Linked DNA regions of Schizosaccharomyces pombe. The gene in region 4 interacts genetically with the main gene of each other region. Each region holds a gene or a part of one and is shown on either strand. Other genes may lie near its edges. The genes, in order: clr3, lsk1, ase1 and rik1.

Region 1 (5,170 bases), on a different chromosome or scaffold from region 4:
TATAAATAAAATGTGTTTATTATTTTCTGTGTACAGTTTGCATTTGAGCTTTGTCTCTCTTGTGAATGATTTGTATCAACTATAAGGTCATGTAACCAAATAATTGGGAGAATATATCTATGTTTCTGAATGCAATTTTTTTGGTCTATTTGCAACTTCTCATCGACGAAAACGGTGTTTACAAAAAGACAAAGGTACCAAGTAAATTGCATATAACCGACATCAGTATATTCATGTAACTTTGGCTGATAATCTTATGTTTTTATTGTTTGTATGGTAGAGTGTTTTGTTACTTGATAATTCTGGTGTTCTGCCTGTTGCTTTTTTCAATCGTTTGTACGGGCAGGCGCGACTTTCGACTTACCAACACATCGTTCAACGCGTCTTGTTTCAATTGAAACAATTATATGCTATACGGAGGATTATTTGATTGCAATTGGATATTATAAAAGGAATTTATCGAAAGGAGAATTCGAATAGGCTAATAACTCGTCATTTTTATATACCTGCATACAGACGAACTCAACAAATATTAATTCATGGCAGGCGGCCACAAGAAAAATGAAGCTACAAGGCAGACTGATGAAGTTATTCAACAAAAATACGATGAATCATTAAGCAAGGTATGTCAATTACGCAAACACAATTAGGTAACATCTCGACGATACAAATAGAATCGTCGATGAATAATTTTGGTTTAGCATAAAAATCGTTGCGAATTGTCATTAACTTTTGAATACAAGTTATCAAACAAACTTAGGGCTCGTTTGAAGGCAGCGTTTTTTAAGGTCGATCATGGATGGGAAGATCAGACATTAGATCAAGTGGAAACGCTTGTTCGTAAGGAAAATCACGTTCATCGTAGATCACGCTCGATCAATGACTTGGACTCTTCTAAGCTAAGAAGGCCGCATCACCCCAACTCAATTATGGGATCGAATACAGGCAAGCTGCGTGCAAGTTCATTTACGCGATTGGTGAGCCCAAGAGAGGGCTTCGCTCAGCTTCCTTATAAGAAGCCTGTATCTCCTTACTCATCTTCTAGTGCTGTTTCTTCTACGTCCTCGTCTTTTGATAGAACTAGTCCTCCTTGGTTGAACTACGTTGAGCCTCATACTGAGCTACCCAGACTGCCATTTGAACTTAGCCATGCCTCCACTGCTTCAGCTAAATCTCCACTGTTCGGAATGAATTACCATATTTCACGCCCTGAAGAAACCGATGAGTCTCTTCGCCTTGGCACTGCAAACCTCAGTAGAATTCGCAAGTCCACGAGTCTTCCTTTTCCAACGGCTTATCCCCTATCGGCAGATGATTGCAAGGCAGCTGAAGTTATGCTTACGTTGGTGAATTCTATGCCTTCGAAAAAACCATAACATCCTTCATTTTAGATGGTATACGAGCATTAAGATATAAAATTACATAATTATTTCATGAGAGTTAATCTATAATTTGGATGAATAGATTGATTGTTCACATCCTGCTGAAGAATTTTTGGAAAAATCTCGTTTGAGAAGTTTTGTTATTTCTTGCTATCCGTCTCCAGTCCTATGGTTGATGAGCTATTAACCCTCTATATGTTTAAATGCTTGATATGTACAAGCCAAATTGTGATAATGCTTAATGATGTTTATGACAAAGGGTGAATGTTTCCGGGCGTACAACAGTCTTAAAGATCATAGAAACATTATTTACCATGTATTTATTAACGTTCTTCCTACATCTTGATCCTTATGATTTGAAATGATTATTATATAAGATAATGGAAATTCGCGAACTCGCAAAATTATGCATTCATTTCGAAGTATGGCTCGAGACAAAGCTATTTTTAAGTTTCTAAGAAAATAAAATAAATAAATAAATAAAAATAAGACCCTCCCATGAGCCTCATTACAAACTCTATTTTTTCTCAATCTCCATACGTTCAGGATCAATCTTCTATTTAAAGCCTTACTAAACGTCTTAATTACTTACATTTTTATTCTTTACCAAACAAACTCCTTTGTTAGCATGGTTGAGATTATATTCTCTCATTGCTCCTCTATACTTATGTCTTAGAAGTACCAGCAACAGTTTTGACGACCAAAACTACCTATATCGAGTGAGCCGCGCTTCAAAAAGTGTTTCGACAGTTTTATGAGGGAGTTGTTTAATAGGAGATTTTTTTATTAATTTATTAATTGATTGACCTTTTTAAGGGCGATAGAAAACGAATGCTGGCCTCTAATTCTGATGGTGCATCTACTTCTGTAAAACCATCCGATGATGCTGTAAACACGGTAACTCCATGGTCTATTCTTTTGACAAACAATAAACCAATGTCTGGAAGTGAAAATACATTAAATAACGAATCCCATGAAATGTCGCAAATCTTGAAAAAATCTGGATTATGCTATGATCCTCGAATGAGATTCCATGCCACTCTAAGTGAAGTGGATGACCATCCTGAAGATCCAAGACGCGTCCTTCGTGTTTTTGAAGCTATAAAGAAGGCCGGTTATGTATCTAATGTGCCGAGTCCGTCAGATGTATTTTTACGGATTCCGGCTAGAGAAGCTACTTTAGAAGAGTTATTACAAGTTCATTCACAGGAAATGTATGATAGGGTTACTAATACCGAAAAAATGTCTCATGAGGATTTGGCCAATCTCGAAAAAATCAGTGATTCTCTATACTATAATAACGAAAGTGCGTTTTGTGCTCGATTGGCTTGTGGTAGCGCAATTGAAACATGTACGGCTGTCGTAACTGGTCAAGTAAAAAATGCCTTCGCAGTTGTTCGCCCTCCTGGCCATCATGCAGAACCCCATAAACCTGGTGGCTTTTGTTTATTCAACAATGTTTCTGTAACCGCAAGGAGTATGCTACAACGCTTTCCGGATAAAATAAAAAGAGTATTGATTGTCGACTGGGATATACACCATGGAAATGGTACGCAAATGGCTTTTTATGACGATCCAAATGTTCTATACGTTTCTTTGCATCGATATGAAAATGGTCGTTTCTATCCTGGCACCAATTATGGGTGTGCAGAAAATTGTGGAGAGGGCCCGGGATTGGGTAGAACTGTAAATATTCCTTGGAGTTGTGCTGGCATGGGAGATGGTGATTATATATACGCTTTTCAGCGCGTCGTAATGCCTGTTGCTTATGAATTTGATCCAGATTTAGTTATTGTAAGTTGCGGCTTTGATGCTGCTGCAGGAGATCACATTGGTCAATTCTTGTTAACTCCAGCTGCCTATGCTCATATGACACAAATGTTAATGGGATTAGCAGATGGGAAAGTTTTTATCTCCCTTGAGGGAGGTTATAATTTGGATTCTATAAGCACATCAGCCTTAGCTGTAGCCCAAAGTTTGTTGGGAATTCCTCCTGGACGATTGCATACAACATATGCATGTCCACAGGCCGTTGCTACCATCAACCATGTAACCAAAATACAATCCCAATACTGGAGATGTATGAGGCCGAAACACTTCGACGCAAATCCTAAGGATGCCCATGTAGATCGATTACATGATGTTATTCGAACTTATCAAGCTAAAAAACTTTTCGAAGACTGGAAAATTACCAATATGCCAATACTAAGGGATTCCGTTTCCAATGTATTCAACAATCAAGTACTGTGCTCTAGCAATTTCTTTCAAAAAGATAACCTTCTCGTTATTGTCCATGAATCTCCTAGAGTCCTGGGTAATGGAACTAGTGAAACGAACGTTTTGAATTTAAATGATTCGCTTTTAGTAGATCCCGTGAGCCTTTATGTTGAATGGGCTATGCAACAGGACTGGGGGCTTATCGACATAAATATACCTGAAGTGGTTACGGACGGTGAAAATGCACCGGTTGACATTCTTTCTGAAGTGAAAGAACTTTGTCTTTATGTATGGGATAATTATGTTGAGTTGTCGATTTCAAAAAATATTTTTTTCATCGGTGGAGGCAAAGCGGTACATGGATTGGTTAATTTGGCATCTTCCAGGAATGTGTCAGACAGAGTTAAGTGTATGGTGAATTTCCTTGGCACTGAACCTTTGGTGGGTCTTAAAACGGCATCAGAGGAAGATCTTCCAACGTGGTATTATCGTCATTCACTCGTGTTTGTGAGTTCTAGTAATGAGTGCTGGAAAAAGGCAAAGCGTGCTAAAAGAAGATATGGACGACTTATGCAAAGTGAACATACTGAAACTTCGGACATGATGGAGCAACACTATCGAGCGGTTACTCAATACTTGCTGCATTTGCTTCAAAAGGCCCGACCAACTTCTCAGTAACATTCGTTATTGACTTATGATTTTTTCATGGTTTTCTATTCTTTTAATTGTCACACATTTAACCTCCTTAAGTTATCTACGTTAAAATTTATAACGGACATTCATGATTTGCCAAACCCGCTGAATGATTCGTACTCAATCTGCTAAGCTGCTTTGTCTCTTTTACTTATACTTTAATTCGAGCTCATTATTCTCAAGGTTGGTGGATTTTGACTTTATTTTCCAGTAGAATGTATACACAAATGGTTTATTGTTATTGCTGGCTTCATTTTATTCATGTTCAATATAATTAAATAAATAAGGTTATAATATTGTTTTATAAAATAAAGCTCCTCAAATCCGTGATATTATTTTAGTTCAAACAACTATTGTTGATTTTTGTCGTAATTTTGCTTAAAAGCATTTCTCTAAAGCTGAGGGAAATCCCTCATCCATTTTTTGTACCGCAAAAGGATAATATTATAGTATGTTGTTTAAATTGTAAAATTAGATTCATAGTACAAACAGCATTTAAATTGTTTTCTTATTCTCCAATATTAATAACTATATCACACAAAAAAATTGATTTGGTTGTATGGTGTAATGGTTAGCACGTGAGATTCTGATTCTCGAGACCTGGGTTCGATTCCCAGTACGACCTTCATGAATGATGGATGATTCTGTGATGTTCAACTTTTTTAACTAATCCAAATTGCATGAATGATAACCGGTCAACAGTAATTGTAAATGTAGCAACTTTACTATTAAGGAAGGCTGGCTTTTTTTTTTTTTAATAAAACGACTTGATCCTATATTATATATAGCACTAAACATTTGCGCAATAACTCACAAGTCAAGGTGTTAGCAACTGGTAGAAATCTTGTAATCTCCCTTGCCTAGAAGATTACTCTCTT
Region 2 (5,764 bases), on a different chromosome or scaffold from region 4:
ATATGTTGCTGCTCTGGCGCAAGTTAACAACAAAAATTAATATTTCTGAATAACGTATCTTTGCGAAATACCACGAGTTCTAACTATATCTACTTTAAATGGATTAAGGCTCCACAGTGCGATTCAATATAACATTAATTAAAATGCACTTGGCCTGTTCATTGATGGCCAAAAAATTAAATATAATTTGGTGAATTTAACTCCTATATAAAAGTTTTGTTTTTTCAAGCCTAAGGATATCGTTGAAGCTATTGCTGTGGATTACCGATGTTAGACTAAATAATAGTTGACACCAATTCGATTTATTAACAGTTTATAAACTTTCTCCCTACATAGTCTTCTTTCTTCGATAATTACTTTAACACATATAAAATGGAATTGTAAATATACTAAACGAAACGATAAGACATAGCCAAACTATGAAGGAATTATGCATATAGCATTTGAATAAATTAAATACTGAAAGCTAAAAGAGCTGCTATAGAGTACAAACTCAGATTCTTATATCGCACCTGTGATGAATAAATGTTTGAAGAAGCGATTTTTATTAACGAAAATATAACATAATAAAAGAGCTTATTTTTTTTGCTTTGCTTTAAGATATTAGAAGTACTCTACTTTTACCCCATATTAAATGTTGAATAAGAAGATATGGTTTTCGCATTTGAAAGCACAACGTCCATGTCTTTTCGATTAAGATTCATTAAGTATTATTGGTGAATATAATTGAGTGCAAGGGACTCTCTCGCTGAATTTACCATATGCAAATATATCATAAATCCACAGAAACCAGTATAGGATGTCCGTTGAATAAGGAAAATTTTATTTAAGTCTAACTCTGATAATACGTTTTGTATGTCAGTCAATTGAATATAAGTGCAAATTTTTATTTTTTTAATGACCTATTTATTGTAATAAAATCACGTTTCTTTGTTAAAATTGCACAAATTGAGTAAGCTATATAAATATTTAGAATTGAATATATACATATGAAAGCAAACATTTGGTCGTAGGATCCTTGTACACTTGAATTTCTATGATATTTTATTATTTCATATTAATTATGCTTACGTTTTGGAATTTTTATAAAAAATTATATCGTACTGGTAGTAGCCGTTTGTACGATCATCTACCTTTTTATTTTTTAATTTCATTAAACAAATTTAATTTATTTGTTTGCATTTTTGAAAAAAAAAACTTATAAAAAATCAATTATGCTCATTTAGCTTTTTGCAATGATTTTTTTTTTTTTTAAACATTTAGTTTAACTAATGAGACTATTATTTAAACAATATTGCACCAAATTTATGTCAAAATCATCACTCTTAAAATTGAATAAACAACAGGAACAGAATTCCATGAGTTATTCATCTTGAAGCTCTTGACCTAACCTTGTTCTTTCTAAAACCAAGCATTTTTGTTTAATTTTTAAAAAAATATTATTGATTAATTTAGCTTTGCAAACAATTTGCACACAATAGATTTTGAGAGGCTGAATATGAATTTTTAATGTTTTGAAGACTGGCGTTCTACTAGAACGTCCAATGTGATAACGTTATACTTATGAAAGGATGTAAAACTTCTATATACAGTAAAATAATATATTCCCTCCTACCTTACATGTAAGGGTTGCATATTATTGATTATTTTACTTTGTATTCTTTAGACTCACGGAAAACACTAATTTATGGTAGAATATTAATTTCTCATAAATAATATTATTTTAAACGATTCAAAACTAATAGAAAAGCTCAGACTTGCCTTTATCTAGTCGACATTTGATTCCTTTGGTTTACTATCGCCAATGGCAATTTCCAAGGATCCATGCGGATTACCAGATTTATCTTCATCGCTTTTTAAAATGTTAAATATGAACTTAATATAATTCAGATGAAAAGGTTTAATCCAATAATATTATATGAATTGAGAATAACTGGTTGGACTTAGTTAATAGTTAAAAGACCATCTTAGCAAATGGGGAAGAGAAAATGGCTAAGAGTTAAGCATTGAATAAATACATTATTTACTTTGATTTCTATAAAACAAGCTGATATTCATCATAGCCTCAAATTACTTATTATTTTAAGTATGGTGTGGTAAAGGAATTGAGTCGCGCGCGTTTATTTCTATTTCTACTACACACCAACAACGAAGTTTACCTATCGCCCCTTGATTAAACTAGTGGACTTGCAAACTACTTCATTCATTGTCATAGAAGAGGAAGAACTAATTTATTTCTGTCTTTATTAAATTTCGAGATAATTGGTGTTTTTAACAATGTACATTTTGAATTGATAGATCAAAGAAATCAGGAGTGCAACTAAAAGAAAATTACGGTATATTTTTTTAAGCTGCAAGAGTTGATACTTAAAAGTATTTCCTAATTTTGTGGATACTCATATTTTGTACATTTACGTTTCAATAACATTTCTGCAACCGACTTATTCACAAATCTCTGGTTAGATTTCTCTATTGATTGAAAAGGTTTGTCTCACGTTCACCCTTCATAGTTTAGCGGTGAAAAAAATCTCCACTCTGAAAATTGTCCTTTCTTCATTTATTAGATTGCATGATTTATTTCACTGGATTTAACTAGCTTGTCTTGGCAGCTTACCTTTTATTTCCCTTGTACGATTTTTTTCCGGTGAAGTTGTATTTATTGTTACATAAAAACACATTTGGCCGTACTTTAACGATTAATTTCTTTTCTTTTATTCCCATCGAATTTTCGCTCACAGATTGCGTGTAATTCTCTTCATTGTTTAGGAATATTCCTTTTTTTATTTTTTATTTTTTTTAACCCTGTTAAATGTCATACTCGAAGAGTACAATTTATCGCCGACAAGGCACAGAACCAAATAGCCACTTTCGGCGTACCGTCGAAGAAAAGTCTCAGCTTTCTGGTACAAATGAGGAGTCTTTAGGAGGCCACACCCTGTCCTCTAATGCTTTCAAAAATAATTCATCTAGTATATCGCCATCCTCATCTGCGAAGGATCCTCGAGAACAGCGGAAAAGAACATTTCCTCTCAACGATACACATTCTTCCCGAGCAAGACAGCATGAAAGACCTTTTCGTTCTCGAAAATCTAGAAGGAGAAAGGGTAAAAAGGCATTCAGTCCTAGACCTGGCTCACCTCCATCACCTTCCTTTTACCGCTCAGGTAGTCAAAAACGAGCACGTAATTTAACTACCAAGGATTACTTTGCCAAACGCTCTGAAAGCTCTTCTAGCGCCTCCGTCTCACCTATATCACCGTCCGCAAACAGAAATGATTCAAAAAGGCAAGCTTCTTCTTTTCGAAGGTCTCCGCCTAGTTCTGTACATATGAAGCCTTCAGCTTTTAACGGTCGAAAGGTATCGCGGAGACCTTCATCTTCTCCTCCCCCTATTCCTTCTATCCCTCATGAAACTACTTCCTCCGATACACAAAAAAAATCTAGCGTGTCTTCTGGCTTTCCAGAGAACAAACATGGAAAATTTCACTTTCATATACCTAATGAACGCCGATCTCGATTCGATCAACCTCCTTCGAAACGTATGGCACTCACGTCCACGGCCCGTGAGTCTGTTCCAGCTCCTCTTCCTTCTCCTCCTTCCGGCCCAATTTATACATATACATATCCAAAGCCTGCCTATGAGAAAATCGACCAAATTGGAGAAGGAACTTATGGTAAAGTATACAAAGCCATTAACACAGTCACAGGAGATTTGGTAGCTTTAAAACGGATAAGGCTGGAGCAGGAAAAGGATGGTGTAAGTATAAAAATCAAGCTCGTAACTAAATTGACTAACTTTCTAGTTCCCTATAACTACTGTCCGTGAAGTCAAAATCTTGCAGCGTTTGCGTCACAAAAATATTGTTCGGCTATTAGAAATTATGGTGGAAAAAAGTACGATTAAATACTGTCCTCATTCACCGTTTAATTATAACTAGTTCTAACATTTTAAAATTCTAGGTTCTGTATATATGGTATTTGAGTACATGGATCACGATTTAACTGGAGTCTTACTAAATTCACAATTACATTTTACTCCCGGTAACATAAAACACCTTTCGAAGCAAATTTTTGAAGCATTAGCTTATCTTCATCATCGTGGGGTGCTTCATCGTGACATTAAAGGTTCTAATATATTACTGAATAACAATGGTGATCTAAAATTCGCAGATTTTGGTCTGGCGAGATTTAATACATCTTCGAAGTCGGCTAACTACACTAATCGCGTTATTACCCTTTGGTTTCGACCTCCAGAGCTATTACTTGGAGAAACTGCATATGACACAGCCGTGGACATATGGAGTGCTGGCTGTATTGTTATGGAGTTGTTTACAGGAAAACCTTTTTTTCAAGGGCGAGACGAAATCAGTCAGTTAGAGGTTATCTATGATATGATGGGTACCCCTGATGTTCATTCTTGGCCTGAGGTGAAAAATCTTCCTTGGTATGAGCTTCTGAAGCCAGTAGAGGAAAAGAAGTCGCGTTTTGTTGAAACTTTTAAGGAGATTTTAAGTCCTGCCGCCATTGACCTATGCCAAAAACTCCTTGCCCTAAATCCCTTTTGTAGACCGTCAGCTCATGAGACCTTGATGCATGAGTATTTCACTTCTGAGAGCCCACCTCCAGAGCCAGCAGTCATGTAAGTATAAAATTTATCGTTGAATGATATTTATCTAACTTATGTGTTTAGTTTGAAAAACATGCAAGGAAGTTGGCATGAATGGGAAAGTAAAAAACGAAAATCTAAAAGATAAATGAGCCAGAAAATTTTGTCAAGGCGAAGCTATGCAAGCTGGACAAATGTTTAAAAAAAATAATCTTTATATTTCATTTAATTTCTTTGTCTCGCTTTACTGCGGTCTATCTTCTATATATTTTGTTAACACTAGGCAGAGTAACAAATTTGTCTGATGCTGGACAACTTTTTTTCATTTTTTGCTCTCTTTTTCTTCCGAAAAAGATGAAATAAGAACACTAATAGCTCATGATAATTAAATGTTCCACTGGTTTATTTGACTATTATAACTCTTTCACCTTTTAAGAACTTAGAAATCAAAGGCTTGAAGTCTTGAAATGAGCTTGGTACTGTGTACAAAAAAGATAAATTCAAAGGACTCGTATGAATTTATGATGTGGTTTTCTTTTAATCAGTCAACCGTAGTAATAATAATTTGTTTACATATACTTTTTAATAATGTTAAGGTGCAGATGTTCTCAAGAGCCTGCTCAAATATTTAGTAATGATGATTTAACAATTAAGAGAGCAAAAATTAAGTTACTATTTGAATGCGTAGCTTAAAATTGATCAAAGTATATCTACGGCTTTTACAATAGTGTGATGGCACGGATATCACATTCCGCATTGCACTGGACCACACTATAAGTCAACACTGAACTGATCGAGGAATAGGTAAGCATTCCCCTTCTCCTTTTGATCAAGAACCATCATTATAACAAAAAAAACAAACACAAAAAAAGTCGATGTCATTGTCGGAGTATCTTCGTGAATTCGCTGAGATTTTTGAGGAAGCTGCACAAGAATTAACCTCAATATTCGAACTACCTCCTGACCTGTTGAAAGATATTACTGAAGAGGATGTTGGGACTGATGACTCTTGTAATAAGAAATTCCTTGAAGTTCAAAAGCAAAAAGAAGATGAAGAAGATGAAGAAATATTGAAAGGAGTGGATTTAACGCAGCAAGATTCCGTACGTGAAAAAATCCACGAAATACAATCGATGTCGCAATTGAGTGAGAAGAGAA
Region 3 (5,313 bases), on a different chromosome or scaffold from region 4:
GGTTGACGACAAATTGGTCACATTACAGGTAAGTTCCAATATAAGTTCCGCCCATCTAAATTCGTTTGCTAATTATAAACAGCTTTGGGATACTGCTGGTCAAGAACGATTTCAAAGCCTGGGAATGGCTTTTTACAGAGGGGCCGATTGTTGTGTAATTGTTTATAATGTGAATAACTCGAAGTCTTTTGACTCAGTAGAAAACTGGAGGCAAGAATTTTTATATCAAACTTCACAAGATGAATGTGCATTCCCTTTCATTATCGTTGGAAATCAAATCGACAAAGACGCGTCTAAACGAGCCGTATCTCTTCATCGAGCTCTTGACTATTGCAAATCCAAACATGGATCAAATATGATTCATTTTGAAGCTAGTGCAAAAGAAAATACAAACGTTACTGACCTTTTCGAAACAGTCAGTCGTTTAGCTTTAGAAAATGAAAGCTCGAGAGATGACTTTGTTAATGACTTCTCTGAACCTTTGCTTCTTTCAAAGCCTTTGAATAATACATCTTCTTGTAATTGCTAGATATTCACACGCTCTCTCAGATTCTTTTACATTTCAAAATGTGCTATACGTTTTCTTTTCATAATATTTTTTTACATTGCTATTTTAACAAAACTATGGTTACTTTCTGTTCTTAATTCTTCTCTTTTCCCTCTATTGATACACGTTTTTTTTTAGGTGTAAATAGTCTTTTAATTATGACCTCAGTTAATAAACTTTTATGAATTATCTATATGCTGTATTCATATGCAAAAATATGTATATTTAAATTTGATCGATTAGGTAAATAAGAAGCTTAAAAGCCTTCTTCTCCCCATTCATCCTCCATCGGTGTACAATTTGTAATATTGTTGAGTGGAGCAGAAAAAATGTTGGTAGTGGGGGACGGTGATGATGGAATTGTCTTTACGGGTGATGCTCTTATGGGGGATATCTTCATAGGAGAAAAAGGAAGGTTCTGCGAGCTGTTTTCAATGTCCATCTCGGGTGTTTGTTCTTTCAGATTAGTTCTTTGCAATTTTTCCGACATAATATTTAAAGCGTGTTCATTAACTACACGCTGCTTTGGAGGACTTAATGGGACGTTCTTAGATGAAGCCTTTGAATACGTTTCATGAGGAGTTCGAGAGTAATTTGGGTGCGGTGACTTGGATTCAAAATGTGTATTGCGAGATACAGAATTTGGAAACTTGTTAAAAGGGGTATTGGAATTTCCAGAAACGGGTGAAGAAGACATATTGCTGTCACTACCATTTGCCCCTTGTCTTATCATGTTCGCGCTTCGAGACCGACTAGCACTGTTTAATCTAGCGTTTATATCAATTCGATTAGCAGTGGGGTGTCTTCTATTGGCGGTACTGGTTGCTGATGGCGGTTCTGCACTAATGGAACGACTTGGATTTTGAGTGTTTTTTACTCTAGGAAGCGGTGTCCTTGGACTCGTCATAGCTCGAGAAGCGGACCTAACACTTGGTGTTGAAGGTACAGCTACACGCCCTCGTTGAGAAGGTGTTCTATTAACAGAGTCCGTTGTAGTTGCTGTTTTCGGGCGGTTTGCGGCAGCACTTGCACTTCTATATAATGATTTTGGTTGAGTGGCCTCTTGGCAAATCTTGAGAAGTGGTTCATCATAAAAAAGGAACGTCCTTCCATTTCTTTCTTCCCATGCTGTAATCTCTGGTATAAGCAGCGACTGAACCTTAGGAAGTTCTCTAGAAAGTCGCTTACGGATTTTCTCTTCACGTAGAAGTAAACCTGGGTCCCGGCGTCCCCGTTGTGTTAGACGAGAGGCATCATTAGAACTAGCTTCAAGCTCTTTCTTTCCTTCTATTAAAGAGGCATAGCGATTAATTAAGCTTAAAAAGGACTTATTAGCAGAAACTTCGGCCTCTAGTTGCTTTATATAGTTTTCATGGGCCGTAAGAACCTGCTCTGTAATAATGTCTTCATACATAGGTGTAAAGGACTTTCTTTGTTCTTCTGAATAAAACAGAGAATCCCAAAGCTGAAGAATTTGTTGACGACAGTCTTCTAAAAAAATGGGTAAATGCTCCTTTTTTAACTGATGAAGTTTTTCAAGTTCAGTTTCCCATAATGAAATATTTTCTTGATTAATGTTTGATGAATCGCCAAATTGACTTTGTTCATTGGGAGAAACTTGAAGCTTATTCCACAAGTTGCTAACTTCTGATTGTATACTTTTTAAATGATCACTTCTCTTTTCTTTTTCAGCGGAAAAAACTTCTTTTTGCTTGCAAAGTTGGTCGATAAGTTCTTGAGTAACATAAACATCATTTGGTCGATTAGTATGGGATTCAAGCAATTGTTCGTATTGTGGAACATCAGCGGGCTCAACACCGAGTTCAGACCACAAACCCAAAATTTCTTCTTCAAAGGAATTAATAACCTCTAATCTCGCATCAATCTCCTTTTCGGCTTCGTTGATGCGTCCTCTCAAAGATTCAGTAAAAGCATCGGATACATCAGATAAAAATGAATTCTCAAAATCAGGTAAAACGAACGGACTTCCTAAGCGGTTACAATATGACTCCAATTTGTGATACATTTCTATACATCAGTTAAAACACAAGTCTAAATTAAAGACGATTACATACCTTTAATCGTACTTAACTTTTGATCATACTGTGCCATATATTGTCCTTCTACCATTGACAAACGATTCAAACACTGAATTAAAGGAGACTCAATTTTGAGACTAGAAGTATCATCCGTTAACTTTAATGAGGAAACCAAAAATCTGATTGAATCAATTCTTTGCTGACAGTCATCTTCAAGTTTTTTCTGGCACTGTTCCATTTCATGAAGCTGGGCATTCATTGCCGTTGTAAACAACTCAAATAATGATGAATTGTCTCCATCTGTTCCAAGGACTTGGTGAAGCCTTTCAATTTTAGAAAAATGCTTTTCCACTTGTTCACGAAACGCTTTCCAAGTAAAGTTAGATTCATTATTAGAGTGATTATCTTTTTCAGCAATAGAATCAGTGCTTTGAATGTCATCCATCATTACTGTTTGCATTGAACCGGTTGATGTAAATGAGCTCAATAAAACGATGTTTGAAATTCAATTAATAGAATATAAAGGAAGATATGAAAACTGTTAAGATGTTGATATATTATAACATAACAAGCAGTACAAGGAATTAACCTTGCATAAAAGCTTGGCACAAAAATGGTGGTTGGATATGGCTTGGCCTGCGAAAGTAACTCAGCATGCGCTTATATTCCAAAGAAAGCAAATAGATTTCAATGTCAGCACTGTATAAACGTTATTCAGCTCCTTTTAGTATAAACAAAATACTTAGAATTGTAAGTTGAAGAATATTTATGTGCCTGAAATATACCAATGTAAGGAAGCACATAAAGTTCTACAAACTGGTATCTTTTGCTCTACCTAAAATATGATACAAGAAAATTCAAATACTGCTTAAAAGGATACAAAGGCTTACTTTTTAAGTCTTATCGTAATCAATATAATTAGACTTATGCATACAAAATATCATCTAAGAGAGAAAAGCATTCATGATTTGTTCAATTCTTTTATTTGCTCATATTCAAAGACAGGATCTAGGACTATGGGAGAATTATTTTATGTAATATTAACCGCAATTGGGATTCAACCCAGTATCGCGAAACCCATTTCCTTTAAAAAAAAAATCATATACAACAAAAAGAAACAATTGTGAGTCGATTGTCCATAAAGACAGTAGGGATAAAAAAGTATTGGGTGAGAAAAAAATGAAAATAAATATAACCAGCTTGGAAGAATGCAAATGTATATAAGTCATGCGTTAAATTTTTACAATTCAACATGCAAAGGGCTAGTGGAGAAGGTAACGGCAGGCTTTGGGAGGTAAATTAACTGGGCTCGGCCAGCAGTGTTTGCTGATAGCTTTCCAGCTCGTCGCATTTGAGCTTCTAAAACAAATACTCGGAAAAAATTAGGATTTAATCGAGGACGTCTGATTTCAGGTTTCACACTTCGCTTTTCCCAGGGTTGAAGCGGGGTGTACAAAGTGAAATTGGCATCTGGCGCACAATCCTCCATCAACCAATCATCCTGAAAAAGCTTGAAATTTTGACAAAGCAAACCATTTGTCAGGTTGCTTTCGCCATGCGAAGATGAGAGATTTAAAATGGAGGCACTTGGATCCAAATGCACTTCTGGCTTGTGAAATACACGTCTGATGATATTACGAGATAGCGACATTATTTTATGCTGTAAAGAAGCTCGAGACTTATTTAAAGATGCTAAAGATGTTTTTTTGGACAACCTAGATGAGTAGAAATTAGATGATAAACTAGAGCCACTCCTATTGCAGGCGGTCAAGTTAGAGGAAGCATCCTTTGATTGTTCCAAAAAAGAGGATTGCTCCTCAAGACTTTTAGAAAGTGGATGGTTATGCTCTACGGGCTCCATAACTATGATATTGTTAGCAACGATGAATAAATAAAAGATAAGAGAAAAGGTTGAAAAATCTTAAAAGAACATACATTGACCTCTTAAACGAGGAACAGATTTGGATTTTTTTAAGTTGTTAATATTCAAGTAAATATCAAGGCTATTTGCGTTTACGAGGTTACAAGAGGAAGAGCTGGGAGTTGCAGGATTTGGCCCCGAATAGTAAGAGTAAGAAGCGACTGAAGACGTTTCCGAAGCAGAGTAGGAGGAGTATTCAGGGAATGAATTACACGAAAAATTCCACAAACAGTCGTAAGAATGAGAGTTGGTAGAAGCAGAACACTCGACAGGTGTAGAAAGAAGAAAGCAGTAATCACCTCTATTAACATCATCATTGTGTAATTTTTTGGACGAAGACAAAAAACGATCTAATTGTGATTTAAGAGTTTTTTTATTAGATAGAGTACTCAAGCGATGTGAAATTTTTCTATAACGATTGGGAACAGGGATCTTGGTTTCACTCAGCAACTGAAAAACGGCGTCTTGCTTTGATGCACAAGAATGGGTATCCTGAGACTGATAAATTAAATCCATCTCACTAGCTTGAGAGCTGCAAAGATTATGATCCCAACATTCGCATTGACAAGTTACCGGAGCTACTTCTGTGAGTGCTTTAGAGAAGCCAATTTCCAATGGTCTTAATTCCATCCGAGTCATCATAGAAAGAAATGTAAAAAGAAAGAAAATATAGCGCCTATATATAAAGCCAATTGATCAAATCCTACCGGTTTCTAATTGCAAAGCAGTTCATAAAGTGAATTAGAAGCTACAATGTTGGAAAGCTATACGACCTTCGAGCTTTCTAAAAATACAACAAACAAACG
Region 4 (6,707 bases):
CATGGAGATCCTAAAGTCGTCGGGGATTATCAAAAATATCTCCCTTCGACTTTAAATTTCCCTTTATTTTTTCAATTGCGGGAAACCTTTCTTGACCCCAAACATTCTATGTTTTCATTTTATGATAAGGCCGTACTTGATGTTCGACATTACTTCAAAGATGTTACCGTCTTGTGTAACTTTTTGGAAAATCATGATTTTCCTCGCTTTTTTCATGAAACCAAAGACATCGCCGTAAGTCTATTGAACAATATTTCAATTTAGTACCTGCATTTTTTATATATTTTAACATTTATTTAGCTGGCTCTTAACGCATTAACTGCACTTATTTTCATGGACGGTATTCCAATTATCTATTATGGACAAGAACAGATGTTTGACGGTGGTAGCGATCCTGACAACAGAGAAGGTCTTTGGAAAAGTAAATACAATACTTCCAATCCAATGTTTAGACATCTTTCTTCAATGATACGCACGCGTCAAAATTTGGTTGAGACCTACCCAGAGTTTACATACGTGCTATCTTTTCAACTATACATTGACGATTCAGTTTATGTATTTACTCGTCCAGGAGTCATTATAGCCATAAGCAATGAAGGCTCTACCTCGTCGTTTAAAGTTGAAATAGATTTGAAAGAACACTGGAAAGAAGTGCCTTCAAGTTTTACAGATATTCTTACTCAGAAAACCATCCCCTGTAAAGACCATAAACTGAAGATCAAATCAAAAAGTGGCTTGCCAAAGGTAAGCATTTAGTTCATGTTTTATTCTACTAACAATTTTTAAGATCCTAATTTCCTCTGACCCTAGCTTCCTATAGAGAAATTACACTAGAGTTTCTCCAGTTTAATTACACTCCAAAAATACTTGGCAACACGTGATCGCCAAATGGAGAAAGTTTTTTTTTAATTTTTTAGCTTAAAAAATTCCTTTGAGCTTTTATGCCAGTTGAAGTGCTCAGTTTCTGTCATATGAAATTTAATAGTTTCATTTTAATTATTGAAATCCAGAATATATGTCATCTCGTCTTAGATAGATGAGCGATGCAACAATTATGACAAATATCTTGAATTTCGAAGAAGATTTTACGAAAGAAATTGAGACTGATAACTTTTTAACCAAGCTTTATGTACTTGTATTTATCAGTGCCATGTTGCGACAGCTTGTGACTTATAATTATAAATCAAAAGATTTTTTTTGTATTACTCACAAATGCATAATACAGTCCTAGAACCAAACTTCCAAATTTGCAATGATCCATAAAGTGTAAGATAATAACTCAGAGCAAAAAGGCAATAATACGTTTAACATAAACTTTGTATTTCCTCAAGGAGGGCTTGAACTTTTTGGTAAGAATTGAGTGATTCCCTATGTTCTACACTTCTGCATAATCGGAAAAGTTCTGAAGATGCCCATCTTTTGACATCGATAACCAAGTCTCCATCAATAAACGGGACTGGAGAAATGAGGTCTGCTTCTATACTTTCGTAGTCCATAGATGACAAGTATGAAAATTTTAATTTTCGAATTTTTCTTGTAAGTTCCTCCAGTTCTAGCTCCTTATCTTTTAATGATACTATACTCCCAATAGCACCAATTTCCGTTGCAAAAAGCATTTTTGGCTCTAAAAACGAATTGGTATTTGTTATTGGGAAATTTTGAAATTTGCTAACTTTATCATGCAGATGGTACACACTTTCACAAATGAATCTGTCATTAAAGTTTTTTGCATCTTTGTTATAACGAAGAAGTTTTAGCAAGCCACTATTAGTTGCTATTATATAAACTGTTCCTTCATATAATGCTGCTTTCACAATGTTTTCTCCAAAAAGGTATCTGGCAACGACAATAAACTTTTGGCCATCGAAGTACATAATCGTAAAACGTCCAATACTGTCCGCTATAGCAATCTCGTTACCCTCTACGATGAGTTGTAAAACTATAGAACCTAGTGATATCCTAGAATCTATCATAAGCCTTTCCTCGGTAAGTTTAACGATTGCAACTTGTTGCCCAAATGCAACGATGTATCGATCATTATATACCCCCAGATCTATCACGGCCGCAGATAGTACCATAGACGAAACTACCTTCAAAGACTGAAGCTCCTTTTCAAACTCTAACAAAATTAATCTTCCATTTACCGGCACCAACTTATCTTGTTCTATAATGCTTGTTCCTACAAGTAAAGAACTCTCATTAATCTTCAAAACTTTCTCACAACGTTCATTTTCGGTAAAAGAAAAAACCCTGAACGAATTATCATCATAACTATCGACCAACTCCAAGTGATAATTTTCCTTGTAACTTTCGTAATCTTCATATCTATTCTCGAGTGTTCTAAGCAACAGTTTATTTTGAAAAATAATGGCTTGTAACGGAACATGCTCCAAAAGTACTTTTCTTGGGGTCAATTCTGGCAATGGATTAAGTTGAAGGAATTTCAAGCCCCCTAATGATACAGAAATGAGAAAATCCTTCCCTGAGTTATCACGAAACTGACACACATCATAACTTTGAGGCATACTAAGCGGCATATAACATAGTGCTCCATTAAACCCATATACCATGTGTGGACAGTCATTGTTGCATATGATATAGGTACCAATATTCATCGTAAATCTCCTAAACGATACAGGGGTTGTACCGAAATGTTTTGTTTCAGAGAATACCAGATTATTTTTGAAAAGTACATAAGATTTAAATTCACCACTTCCGCTAGAAACTAAAAGAAGATTTCTGTCAACACCAACTCCTTCTAAAATAATATTTCTGGGCAATGATGGAACGTTGGTTTGAAAGGCGCAGCTAATTGACGAATTATCTGAGAATGTAAGTATCATCACCTGCTTAGACCAAAATCCAACTCCTATTTGAAATTGCGCTGAAAAATCAAGGCAAGAAATTTCACTTTCAAAAACTTTTCGTGCAACTTCTGTATCTTTTTTAAATATTGCCAATGCTGTTCCATTGATAACGATTGCGGAGTATTCTTGATAGCAAGCAGCGTTCGTGATTTTTTCAATATAAACTAAACGAGAGCGCTTTGCAGAATCGTAGATACAAAGAAAAGTAGATGTGACTTGTACAAACTCACCATTCGTCCCTGAAAGCGCAATCGTCCTTTCTTTGGTTGATAGAGATGGGTCTAGCTCTAACTGGAAATCTTCTTTGATATTAAAAGCAACAGTTTCACTAGGAAACCCGAGGAAGAGCTTATGCTCTGGATATGATGGTAGGACCATAGCTCGAAGGATGCCCGAGATTTTCGTCTGCCCTAAAATATCTAATTTCAGAGCATGTTGAAAATAAATTAAAGAAGCGTTTCTTGGTGTTCCTGCGCATACAAGGAAACTTTTTTCAATGTCGTTTTTGAGTACTAGTAAATCATGAATGGGTCCTAAGTTGGGTATTGAGTCAACATCCTTCAAAGTAGACAGGTTAATAAGTTTAGATTCCGAATTTTTGCTTCCGATAAACAAGAGTCCCTCATGGATGGAATTTAGAGAAGTAATAAAGTCGAAAGGTGGGATTGGTAGTCTTTCCATAACCAAGCTCCATTTGTTTTTTCCCAAGATACTCGAATATACTCCGAAAAGATATCCATTAGTATCACAAACAATATAATGCATCTTTTGCCCTTTCAAAGGAGTCCAATGCATATAAGTAGTACAAGGACCATTGATTGTAACAAAATTACCGCGATACATGCAATGAATAAACAAACTCTCAAAAACCAGCAAACCTCTTTTTCCAAAGGGCATGATCATTGACGGTTTAACCCGCTCAAATAGTCTAATCCCCTTTCCCAAACTTTTTGAGCTTAAATCTAAAAGAAAAGCTGTTACATAACAATCTAAGCCATCGCTGTGAAGGACCACAAGAGTTGGGGTACTGGAATCATTGAGAATGCACATATCATATATGAGATGCACTGGAAAAGAAAAAGGAAATCCGCTATCTATAGAACGGCCAGTTTTCAACCGTTCTTCGGCAGAAAGGATTCTAATACATATCATGGAAATTTCGTCAATGCTTAAAAAAATAGCACGCATCCTTAAGTCGACAAGGCAGTAGCTTTTCGCGTTGCGATTCCAAGGAAATGTAACTCGATAGCGAACTGGAGGATGGTCGACGATCACTTTTTGATAATCCTCGTCCCAATAAATCGAAAAATAAGTATCATCATTGAGAACTACAAATAAATAGTCTCTATCTAATCCTGGAGGGCGATATGGGCGTATATGTTTCACCGTAGAAAATAAAGGGATAGAGGTAAAGAATTGTAAGCCATGAACCTCACTACAGAGATAAATATTAATTTTTAAGGCTTGTAATAAAACTAAGCAGTTTTCAGATGATATAAAATGACATGAAGTCGCTGTGTCTACCGCCGTTGCCCAGAAGGAATGAACACATAAAGCCATACACGATGAAATCCATAAACTGATATAATAAAAGGAATAAAGACTTTTTTTAACAAAGAAAAAAATAAAAAAAAGAAGCTTTGAGTTGGTTCAAAAGATTATGACTAGACTTATGTGATTAAAAAACAGTTGAATACAAAAATAAAGAGTGGACGGCCAAGAGCCACAAAAGCCTAGAAAAAGGAATTCAAGATAGAAAAAATATGCTACCAAGTGACAATCTCTATCAAATCCTTACCAAAAAATTTCGATTTTGAATGAAAGTGCAAGACGCCAGTTACAGGCACTCCGCAGGGAGAAGAAACGAGATATGCAGTCTCTATACATTTTGCGCAAGCGAATTTATTGTAAAAGTTGATATGCATTTTTTAATATCAGATACTACACAAAACATTTTCTGATAATCATAAAACATAAGACATTTTCAACTTGCATCTTAACTAAGCCAAATTCTACATCAATGTTATAAATTTTAGCATTAGCCATATTGGGGGAAATCGAAAGCTATTGATATTTTTATAATTGCAAAACGATTTGATAATGTAGAGAAGATATTGGAATATGTTACTCTCATCGATGAGCAGAATTAAAAGCTATGGGAGATAACGACTATTGCTATTGAAAACAAGAACTAGGCACGCAAAGAAATATATACCTTCTTTACTATAGTGCATGGTATTAGAGTTACTTAAAAGATTATTTTAACAACTTGCCGATCACGAGGTGATTCACAGATTTATAGCATAAATGAAAACCTACGGATGTCTAGCAATAAAGTTAGGATTTTACTGAAATTCGAGTCGACAACTAAAACATAATATTTTTGTAGCATCGCTTTGAATGATTGAGCATGTAAATATTTAGATATAATTGAAAGCATAGAAATTATCATAAATGATTTTCTTTAGATGCTGAAAGTAATAGCGTTTTTTCTATACCAGTTTAGTGTTCGCGTCATCCATAAATACCGAAGTAAAATCAAGCTTAATATAAGCGAGATTTACGAAGGTTGGACTAAAGATTAGTTTCTCGTAGAAATGGTCATGAACTTTTGAAAGGTCTCTTAAACATAAAATAGTTTTTTAAAAAACTTTCTATATTACTTTTTACCAAATCCAATTACTGCTTTCATCAGTACTCCTTTTTTTTTAAAATGGAAGCGTTTTGACATATTTCGTTCATGATACGCTCAACTATTAGGAACATAGTAAATTATACTACAAATTCACTATCTATACAATGATAAGTATCGTTGAACGTTACATATTGGAAATCAACAGTCAAGCATTGTTTACTGATCACCGAGGAAGAATTTCATGATTATCCTCAGATGTACTCAGTCAAGAATATGATATTAAAATTATTCTCAATATTTAGCTTTAATTAAATATAAGCTATTTAATAAACCAATTTATATGTAAATACCATTCAAATCACCTACATAAATATCTATAGGAACATATCTGTAGATCAGTATCCAAAACGCCGTATAATGTCAGCTACGCAGTTTGGTATCTGCTTTAACGATACGAAAAACTGGTGAATTTTGCATATGATCCATTATATTATAATAGCCGGGTTATATAAGTAATGACTAAGTACTGGTATTGTACTATTTAGGTTATAATGTCACCTATCACTTATAACTGAACTGCGAAATGAGGTTTAGTTGTATCTCTATCGATTCTATCCAAATAATCTATCTGTTAATATAGTATTATCAATATCAATCTCGACATCGCATCATCTACGTTGCGTATCACTATATGTCACATGTTCTAATTATATATCGTACCATGTATGATACGATATTGAGATTGATCTTAATGATAATCTATTAAGATCTATATTATCTGAATAATATAAATAGAGCTACTGCTGAACCTCGTTCCTCAGTTCAGTTATGAGCTATATTAGTGATAGGTAACATTATAACTCAGTTAATACAATACCTATACTCAGTTGCTACTTATACAACCTGTGTATTGTAATATAATAGATCACAAGGAAAACTCACCGCAGTTCTACGTATCCTTAAATCAGATACCAAATTGCGTAGCTTACAATTTAATACAAAAAGGCATTGCCCGTTATTTGATTTTGTTGGATATCCTTAAAGTATGGAAAAGATGTTGCTACTAAGCAAGAGCGTCTAGCATCTGCGAATATGGTGGAATCGGATTCTTCGGGAATCGTTCGACATTCTCAAGGAGAATTTGACATCGTCCAGGTTTACAAAAAATTTTTGCAAGATGATCCAGAAATCACGATGCCTGTAGC

The links.
Region 1: mutations in rik1 (region 4) and clr3 together harm fitness more than expected from each alone (negative genetic interaction), as found in Schizosaccharomyces pombe (3 studies listed by BioGRID, with this or other methods).
Region 2: mutations in rik1 (region 4) and lsk1 together harm fitness more than expected from each alone (negative genetic interaction), as found in Schizosaccharomyces pombe (3 studies listed by BioGRID, with this or other methods).
Region 3: mutations in rik1 (region 4) and ase1 together harm fitness more than expected from each alone (negative genetic interaction), as found in Schizosaccharomyces pombe (3 studies listed by BioGRID, with this or other methods).

Annotation. Positions count from the first base shown.
Region 1 is NC_003423.3:252,609-257,778, forward strand, and holds clr3 (class 2 histone deacetylase Clr3), read left to right. Parts: upstream 1-2,077; 5' UTR 2,078-2,213; coding exon 2,214-4,277; 3' UTR 4,278-4,530; downstream 4,531-5,170. Other genes in the region: cell cycle transcriptional repressor Whi5, read left to right, coding at 540-623, 702-1,376. UniProt on the Schizosaccharomyces pombe protein: Responsible for the deacetylation of lysine residues on the N-terminal part of the core histones (H2A, H2B, H3 and H4).
Region 2 is NC_003424.3:3,951,662-3,957,425, forward strand, and holds lsk1 (P-TEFb-associated cyclin-dependent protein kinase Lsk1), read left to right. Parts: upstream 1-2,134; 5' UTR 2,135-2,809; coding exon 2,810-3,757; intron 3,758-3,803; coding exon 3,804-3,894; intron 3,895-3,909; exon of another isoform or gene 3,910-3,960; coding exon 3,961-4,639; exon of another isoform or gene 4,640-4,690; coding exon 4,691-4,754; 3' UTR 4,755-5,208; downstream 5,209-5,764. Other genes in the region: SPOM_SPAC2F3.16 (ubiquitin-protein ligase E3), read left to right, coding at 5,482-5,764. UniProt on the Schizosaccharomyces pombe protein: Catalytic subunit of the CTDK-I complex, which hyperphosphorylates the C-terminal heptapeptide repeat domain (CTD) of the largest RNA polymerase II subunit. Involved in RNA polymerase II transcriptional elongation and pre-mRNA 3'-end processing.
Region 3 is NC_003424.3:1,876,095-1,881,407, reverse strand, and holds ase1 (antiparallel microtubule cross-linking factor Ase1), read right to left. Parts: upstream 3,220-5,313; 5' UTR 3,047-3,219; coding exon 2,623-3,046; exon of another isoform or gene 2,576-2,622; coding exon 804-2,575; 3' UTR 682-803; downstream 1-681. Other genes in the region: GTPase Ypt71, read left to right, coding at 1-28, 83-529; SPOM_SPAPB1A10.08 (uncharacterized protein), read right to left, coding at 3,827-4,449, 4,522-5,149. UniProt on the Schizosaccharomyces pombe protein: Required for anaphase spindle elongation and microtubule bundling in both interphase and mitosis. Has a role in spatial and temporal regulation of septation and cytokinesis and ensures equal partition of segregating sister chromatids.
Region 4 is NC_003421.2:1,465,894-1,472,600, reverse strand, and holds rik1 (CLRC ubiquitin ligase complex WD repeat protein Rik1), read right to left. Parts: upstream 4,720-6,707; 5' UTR 4,428-4,719; coding exon 1,305-4,427; 3' UTR 821-1,304; coding exon of another isoform or gene 788-820; 3' UTR 745-787; downstream 1-744. Other genes in the region: SPOM_SPCC11E10.09C (alpha-amylase-like protein), read left to right, coding at 1-234, 301-744, 788-820; translation initiation factor eIF2B alpha subunit Gcn3, read left to right, coding at 6,595-6,707. UniProt on the Schizosaccharomyces pombe protein: Component of the Clr4 methyltransferase complex (ClrC) which contributes to the establishment of heterochromatin by specifically methylating histone H3 to form H3K9me.